2 linked regions of the Sus scrofa genome follow. The protein of the gene in region 2 interacts with the protein of the main gene of each other region in a pairwise test. Links are inferred from orthologs where the notes say so. Each region holds a gene or a part of one and is shown on either strand. Other genes may lie near its edges.

Region 1 (4,378 bases), on a different chromosome or scaffold from region 2:
AAGATTGCCCCTCTCCCTCACAAAGGCCACATTCAGGGCTCTGCAGCTGCTCCTGGGTGTCCCCAGAGATGTTCCTGGGTGAGGTGGGAGAGCAGATGGGCCCCAAGCCAGCCCAAGTCAGCAAAGCAGCTCCCACTCTTGCAGAAGATTGTGATAACGAGAGGGCTCCTGATATCCTTTCCTTTGCAGCTCTGGACCCACAGACCAGAAAAGGACTGTGGCTGGCTCAAGGTCATGTGGCTAATCCAGGGGACATGGCCAGGGGTGGGGTCTGACTTGTGGGCACTCACCAAAGGGTCAGAGGGTGCAACAGGCCACAAACCCATGGAGCCAGCCCCCAAATGGGATGGGGCACGTCCTCAGCTGCCTGGTTACAGGCACACCCCTCTCTTCCTGTAGCCTTCCCCCAAGCCCTAGGGAACTGAGCTTTGGAGTAAGAGAGAGCAGAGTTCAAACCCAGCTGTAACACTTTGTACAGCTGGCAGGCTCCAGTTTCCTCATCTCTAAAGTGGGTACAATACCAAGAGCTACCTCGGGGGCAGCATGGGGGTCCAGGAAGATCACGCAGGTGCGGGGCCTGTTGGGAAGACCATGGAAGCAGGAGCGGCCACCTCAGGCTCCCACCCTTCAGCCCGGACTTTGTCCCAGGCTCCAGCTGGAGAACAGTCAGAGCCACTTCACTACTCATCTCGATTTGGGGCTTGATTTCTATCTTCAGAAACAGAGGAGAAAATTAGGGCCCACCTCCCACGAATGCCCTGCAAGAAGCTGGGAACCTGGGCAGGTAGAGGGTGGACATGCCAGGCCATGAGGACCAGGTTGGTAGCCCACACCTGCTGCAGCCGGCCATGGGTTCTGTTTGCTCCTTTCTCATAAGAGCTCACGGAGTTCATGTCCTGTCTGCACAAGCCTTGCCACCCCTAGGCCTCACATTTGCACAAGGGGAAGTGGCAGTGCCTACCCGCCCCCCGCCCCCGGGATGTTGTGAGGATCCACAAATGACAGTGACAGACAGCAGAGGGTGGGTGAGGGGGGCCGACTCCCAGCCTGTGCTCTGTGCTCTGTGCCATAGTCCCTATTGCCGCTACAGAGGAAGGTGATTTTTCAATCTCCCAGCCGACCTTGGAGAGGCACCGGGTAGTGTCACTGTCCCTGCCTCACCAGGACCAGAAGGTGTAGGACCAGTTCCAGTCTCTGGCCAGGTCAGTTTCAGGAAGGCCACCAGCAGGCACAGTGACAGCCACTGGGGCTTGGTTATGGTGGAGGGCAGTGTGGAGTCACAAGGGCTTCGGGAAGGGCCAGATGCACCTGCAGGACTTGAACCATTCATTCCACCCCCCTGGCAGGGACAGGGAGTAGCCTCCTGGCAGGTAGGGCCAGCACAGGAAAGATAGGAGGACTGTCCCCTGCCCAGGGACATCTGCATGCAGCCTGACTCTAGAAATCCTACCTGAGTGCACGCAGCTTGTGCTTCACAGGCCGCTATAGGTGGTCGCATGGCGTGGCTGTGCATACTGCATGCTTATGCTGATGCCTGTGGATCCATGAGACCTGTGCTTGCCGCAGCATGTGTGTGCAGTGACCACACAGTGTGTGAGCCTATGACAAGGTGCTAAGTTTCTCTCCTTCTGTCCTACCAGCCTGAAGGTTGCTGGGGAGATTTAAGGGGACAGGAGATAAAATACCTCTTCCACATGCCCTGTTGCCAGGCTCATGGGGTTTCATGTCATCAGCTCTACCCATTCTCCTGGCACCCTTGAGAGATGGACCAGAAAGACCAGGGGTGGCCTGTGGTCTGGGGTACGGTGGCCTGGAGCCAGCAGCCACAAGCCCACTCTGGGCTGCTTGTCCTCGTGGGTGACAGAGGCGGGCATATATCTCTAGGGGGCTGGGTAGGGGAGACTGCCAGATGCCAGCCCTGTATCCATTCTTCCTTATTCACAAAACCTTGATTTGAGGTGGGTTTTTCCTGCCCTTACTTCTTTCTATTTCCTGTGTGTGCTGGCTGGAGCTCCAGCAACCATTTTGGACCTTAAGGTAACCTCAAGAATGGAAGCCAGTGAGACAGATGGATCCTGAGAGCCCCTGCTGAGACAGATGGAGCCTAGTCCCTGCTGACTGTGGGGCCTCCGTGCCAGCCCTCTATTACCTCCCTCCAAATTTTTTCAGCATGACAGAGAAACACAAGCAACCTTGTTCAAAACCACTGTTATTTGGGCTGTTCTGTTACAAGCAGTCAGATCTAATTCTGGTGTTTCTTCTTCCTTCCAAAGGAAGACTGTTTCAAACATGTGGGGAGCTGACAAGGCATCAATACACATTTTCCACGTATTGACTGTATTCTGGGGGACAGCTTATTTTCCTTCCCTTTGTTTTTCTGCATTTCATTACTCTTCATCCTTCCCATCACCTTGCCACCATGTCCTGAACTCTATCCCAGGCATTCTCCTCACACCATCTCTCTCCAATCTCCCAACAGCCCCACAGAGTTGGAACTACCAGTATGTGTCCCAGGCAGGGGTCTCAGAGTCCTTTAGGAAGTGGGCATTCATTAATTACCTGCACTTATCCACCAGCCTTGAAACTTAAGACATCCTCTCCCAGCACTCACCCTTCCCCTACACGACAGCGGTGGGCTCAGGGTCAGCACCTGGCACCTGCCCCATAACTTAACCACGTGACCGACCCCAGGCTCCTCCTCCGCACAGACGCTTAAGGTCCAAAGGGGACCCCAGGAGTCTAGCCTCCCAGCCAGGGCACTCCAGCACTTACTTTCTTAAAAGCGACCCTACAGGGGACATCCGGGGATGGGGTCAAAGGAGGAGGCACAACAAGGCTCTCTGGTCCAGGGCAACCCCCAGAAGCCCCCGCTCCCCAGCCCTAGGCGAACGCCCAGCACCCCAGCTCCTACCTTTGCCCGCTGCATCCTGGGCGCTGGAGGAAACTGTTGCCAGCCTCCCCTGAACGCAGTCGAGGCGAACAGGACTGCCGCCACCGCCGCCGGGCTGGCAGCCGCCTCATGTTTGCTTGGATCCAGACGTAATTGTTACTGGCGGCTCCACGCCCGCCCCCTGCCCACCCTCCCTCCGTGCGCGCGTCTACACTACGCTCCACCCCCTCTGCTCTGCCTCCCTCCACGCTCAACCTCTCCGGTCTCTCGCTCTCATCTTTTCCGTCTCTCCCAGGCTCTCTGGCCCACTCTCCGTACAAATCGTTCCTAACATCGCCCTCTTGGCCTGTCGAAGTCCGGTTCTCTCAGTGTCCCCTCTTCCCTGTCACCAGGTGTCTCTGTGTGCCACCTCCCCCCAACTGTCTTTCTCTAACCCACACTCTCTCTGCTCCCCGACCTTGGAACAGGGAGGTGGGGGTGCAGAGAGCCCGGGCTGGGGGGAGGGGAGCTCAGGCACAAGTTCCTGTCCTAGTAGGGGGCAGGGCAGCAGTGGGGCCTGGAGAGCCTCCCAGAGCATTTTCCAGAACAGGCCAGCCCCTCCCTCATCCTACTGGCCCCTTCTTATGGACCCCAGGTGGCATGACCTCCCAGATGAGCTGAGGCCATTGCAGTCAAGGTGAGCTGCGGAGAGGGGGCTCCCTGCTGTCCCTCCAGCTACCCTACAGATGACCTCTGAGCACCCCTGGCATCTGGAATATCCTCCTGGTAGGGACATTCTGGGTGCTGGGCCCTCTCACCACCACCGCCACCACCACCACCCCCGCCATGGTGATGGCTACCATGGCACATTATGTGGGTCACAGGCAGGGGTCTTGCACCTGCTTCATCTATGCCCACCTTTACCCATCTCCTTTCACCGTTCAGGGGCTCTGCCTGCCATGGGAGAGCCCACCCCAGCCCTGAGCTCCTTAACACTCTCCAGGTGGCCTGGCATCTGTCCCCAGTGTGTGGGTCCGGAATGGGACCACATCAGGGCAGCTGAGGGACCTGGCCAGAGCTCCTGGTGGTGGAGGGAAGGAGTGAGAGCCCCTGAGCATCCTGGGGAAGGGGTCCCTTCCTGCCCCTTAGGAGGGCAGACTCCTGGGCATTTGCTCAGTCCCCAGGGAAACCTCCCAGGAGCCAGGTGCCTGAAACATCTGCCAAGTTTCCCTTTTCTGCACCCCGAGGAGAGAGCCAGCCTGTGCCACTGGTTCCCATGGAAACAGAGCCCTGAGACACCCCCTCCTCTGCTTGCACAGGAGCTCTTGCGTGCCCTTCTCCATTTTTTTGTTTTGTTTTGGGGGGTTTTTTTGAGGCAGCCAATCAGCTTCAACTTTCAGATCCTGGGCAGGAAAAAAATAGTCTGGAGCTGTTGACCCATGGAGGGAGGAGGACTGTTTCCTGAGCAGAGGTGGCCCAGGGTGTCTGGCCCGGCTGGACTTCCAGGCC
Region 2 (4,153 bases):
CCCACACCTGTCACTGCCAGTGCACAGCCAGGAGAGGGAGAGTCTGTGGTTTCTCTTGTTTAGGTTGAGAGCAAATTCCTTTCTGAAGTAGGTGGCATTCAAAGTGTAACCACACCACTCCCGAGAACTCCATCCCTGCTCCACCTCACTAGTTTGAGGACTTGGACAAATTATTTAATCTCTTTGGTACTTCTGCTTCCCTGTCTACAAAATGGGGATAATGTTATGATACACACCTTCCCAGGCTCATGAAGAGTAAAGCAACTTACATCTGTAAAACTACTGAGATCATTAATTAATTGCCATGAGGTTGGTGTCATGGCATAGTGGAGGTGGTTTAGTTGGGAGGAAGAAAAATTAGTCATTTTCATGTGTTGTCTAGTTCCTTTTCCGCTAGAGCAAGCTTTTTCTATAAAGGGCCACCCGGTAAATATTTCGGCCTTGTAAGCCAAACAATCGCAACATTCGACTCATAGTTGTGGTTTGAAAGCAGCCATAGACCATATGTAAACAAACGCGTGTTTCTCTCCCAGTAAAACTTGATTTACAAAAGCAGGCAGCCACCTTGCTCCCAGTCCCACCCTCCCTCAAGGTCACCTCCTCTTCCCTCTGACTTGACCTGACTGCCCCCCCTCCTCTGCCGGCCCCGTCTTTCAAAGTAGCAGGCAGCTGGTGGATGGGATGGCCTGGGAGCTTTCCTGTGCCCCACGGGCTTGCTTTCCTGGGAACCTTCCCTTAGGCACGTGGTCTGTCAGATGTTGGCCTGCCTGAGGCTGGAAGCCAGTTTGGGGTGTTTTGAGCTTCTTAGATGTGGGGAGTTCCGTTTGGAGATTTTTATTGACAAGCATTCCTTTAGCCAGCAGTTTTATTTTATTTTTATTTTTTAAATTTTTTTTATTTTCCCACTGTACAGCAAGGGAGTCAGGTTATCCTTACATGTATACATTACATTTTTCCCCCCACCCTTTGTTCTGTTGCAACATGAGTATCTAGACAAAGTTCTCAATGCTATTCAGTAGGATCTCCTTGTATATATATTCTAAGTTGTGTCTGATAAGTCCAAGCTCCAGGTCCCTCCCACTCCCTCCCCCTCCCATCAGGCAGCCACAAGTCTTTTCTCCAAGTCCATGATTTTCTTTTCTGAGGAGATGTTCATTTGTGCTGGATATTAGGTTCCAGTTATAAGTGATATCATATGGTATTTGTCTTTGTCTTTCTGGCTCATTTCACTCAGTATGAGATTCTCTAGTTCCATCCATGTTGCTGCAAATGGCATTATGTCATTCTTTTTTATGGCTGAGTAGTATTCCATTGTGTATATATACCACATCTTCCGAATCCAATCATCTGTCGATGACATTTGGGTTGTTTCCATGTCCTGGCTATTGTGAATAGTGCTGCAATGAACATGCGGGTGCATGTGTCTCTTTTAAGTAGAGTTTTGTCCGGATAGATGCCCAAGAGTGGGATTGCAGGGTCATATGGAAGTTCTATGTATAGATTTCTAAGGTATCTCCAAACTGTTCTCCATAGTTAGCCAGCAGTTTTAAAACAAAACAGAATGGAGTTTTCTGGAGAGAACACAAGTGGAAGGGAAGGCACGTTAGTCTCTGTGACAATGGGCCACCAGCTGGTCCATTCTTGGAACTTTGTGCTCTGGACAGCCCGGACATTTGCTCAACCACCCTCCTTTCACACCAGAGGTCTACTTAGCCAGACCCCTCTACACCCCAATTAATAAGGAGCACCCCTCCTCCTGTAGCCATTCTGAACCCCTCATCAGAGCCTGGGCCTTTCTTGGCTGCCCTGACAGCACTGCTGCACCTTGCTATTCCCTGTGCAGCCTCCTGCTCTTGGGCCAGGACGCTGCCTGTGGCCACATGACTCAGCACTTCCCAGCAGCTGCAGTCCAGGTGCCCTCTCTGCCTGCCCCGTGCCTGTGCCAAGACTTGGGAACCAGGCTCTCCCCACCAGCCTCTTGGCTTCTGGAGCAGATCCTCACTGGGCCCCCCAAAAGACTCAGCGCAGCCTGGCTCCCAGGCTGACCTCCCTCACACTGCCTGCCCTCAGGTTCTCTGCCGGTGGCCCCCTGCCACCAAGAGGAAGCTTAGAAAGAGCCTGGGTGGAGATCCCTGGTGGCTCAGCAGGATAAGGATCTCAGGTTTGATCTCTGGTCCAGGAACTTCTGCTTGCTGCAAAGGTGGCCCAAACAAATAGTGCAGGTGGAATCGAAGGAGATCCCTGAGGGGAAAGCTGCAATCACTCCTCAGCCTTATTAGTGAGAAACCAGAGGTTTCCTGCATTGATTCTGGAAATGGTGTTTAATCAGTGGCTGCAAGAGATGCTTCAAATAGGAAGCTGGTTTACTTTTTTTTTTTTTTTTTTTTTTTTTTTGCTTTTTAGGGCGCCTTGCAGCATATGGAGATTCCCAGGCTAGGGGTCTAATCGGAGCTGTAGCTGCCGGCCTACACCACGGCCACAGCAACACCAGATCCAAGCCTCGTCTGCAACCTACACCACAGCTCACGGCAACGCCAGATCCTTAACCCACTGAGCAAGGCCAGGGGTCGAACCCATATCCTCACAGATCCTAGTCAGATTCATTAACCACTGAGCCATGAAGGGAACTCCCTGATTTGCTTTTTTTTTATAAAGAATACCTATAAAAATGGACTCTGTGTGAAACTGTATTTGTCCTTCCCGGGAAGTGATTTTATCATGGAGAGTTTTGTATTCTGGAGGGTCCTACATCCTGGGTCTGGATGAAGTGACTGCAGTGGTGGATGTAAGTCAGGAGGAGCCTCAGGCCACCTGCGCCATCAGGATACATACAAAGCCAGAGGCCCTGACGGGCAGCGGAGCCCTTTTCAGCGCTCCCCGTGTCTCTGTCAGTGGGGAAGCCACAGCAAGTGGCCCCAGCCGTGCCCACCCTTCTCCGCAGGGCCCATCTTTGTCTGTCCTCCCCTCAGGTTTGAGCTGATGCGCATGTGCTGGCAGTACAACCCCAAGATGAGGCCTTCCTTCCTGGAGATCATCAGCAGCATCAAGGATGAGATGGAGCCTGGCTTCCGGGAGGTCTCCTTCTACTACAGTGAGGAGAACAAGCCGCCTGAGCCGGAGGAGCTGGACCTGGAGCCGGAGAACATGGAGAGCGTCCCCCTGGACCCCTCGGCCTCCTCGTCCTCCCTGCCGCTGCCCGACAGACACTCAGGACACAAGGCTGAGAACGGCCCAGGCCCTGGCGTGCTGGTGCTGCGAGCCAGCTTCGACGAGAGACAGCCTTACGCGCACATGAACGGGGGCCGCAAGAACGAGCGGGCCCTGCCTCTGCCCCAGTCCTCGACCTGCTGATCCTGGATCCCGATCCCGTGCAAACAGTACCGTGCGCACGCGGGCGGGCGGGGGGAGAGTTTTAACAATCTATTCACAGCCTCCTGTACCTCAGTGGATCTCCAGAACTGCCATTGCTGCCCACGGGAGACGGCTTCTCTGCAGTAAACACATTTGGGATGTTCCTTTTTTCAATATGCAAGCAGCTTTTTATTTCCCAACCCAAACCCTTAACTGACACGGGCCTTTAAGAACCTTAATGACAACACTTAATAGCAACAGAACACTTGAGAATCAAGCCTCCTCACCCCCTCCCTGTCCCTCTCTCCTCTTTCTCCCTCTGTCTCTCACCTTTTTCTTTCTGCTTCTCGATGGAAACGCATTTGCTGCAAGCCCAGCCGGGACGCCCTTCATGTAGGATTGAGGAAAGAGCTGTCCCTCCAAGGCCCCACCTTGCCCCAAACACACCATAGGTCTTTGTAAAAAAACATGTTGAGATGAAAATTTTTAACTGAATCTTGAACCTTTAGGGACATACGAAATTTAAAAAGGGCCATCATTCATCCCAGGTTGTCACCATGTTAACGCTGCCAAATTTCTGCCACAACCCCGCACTTTCTCCCTCACTGTCCCCTCACTGTCGTCTTGTCTCCAGAGACCCCGGGGCGAGCACGGTAGCTGGTCACTTGTAAGAGCCACGCTGATGATGCTCTCCGCCCGATCGGCCCCAGGGTTCTTTTCAAGTCTCACATTCACACAGGTGTAACTGCTTGTGACAAGGTTGTCACTTGGGGGAACTGGACAGAATGAGACTGTGTCTCAG

What was found.
Region 1: the proteins of IGF1R (region 2) and KCNIP3 interact in binary tests that used the Homo sapiens proteins (3 or more experiments, as listed by UniProt). The two-hybrid records come from large-scale screens. The link is inferred for Sus scrofa from reciprocal best matches to the Homo sapiens genes IGF1R and KCNIP3.

Annotation. Positions count from the first base shown.
Region 1 is NC_010445.4:45,997,067-46,001,444, forward strand, and holds the start of KCNIP3 (calsenilin), read right to left. Parts: upstream 2,852-4,378; 5' UTR 1,514-2,851; coding exon 1,451-1,513; intron 1-1,450. UniProt on the Homo sapiens protein: Calcium-dependent transcriptional repressor that binds to the DRE element of genes including PDYN and FOS. Affinity for DNA is reduced upon binding to calcium and enhanced by binding to magnesium. Seems to be involved in nociception.
Region 2 is NC_010443.5:137,389,384-137,393,536, reverse strand, and holds the end of IGF1R (insulin-like growth factor 1 receptor precursor), read left to right. Parts: intron 1-2,969; coding exon 2,970-3,351; 3' UTR 3,352-3,452; downstream 3,453-4,153. UniProt on the Homo sapiens protein: Receptor tyrosine kinase which mediates actions of insulin-like growth factor 1 (IGF1). Binds IGF1 with high affinity and IGF2 and insulin (INS) with a lower affinity. The activated IGF1R is involved in cell growth and survival control.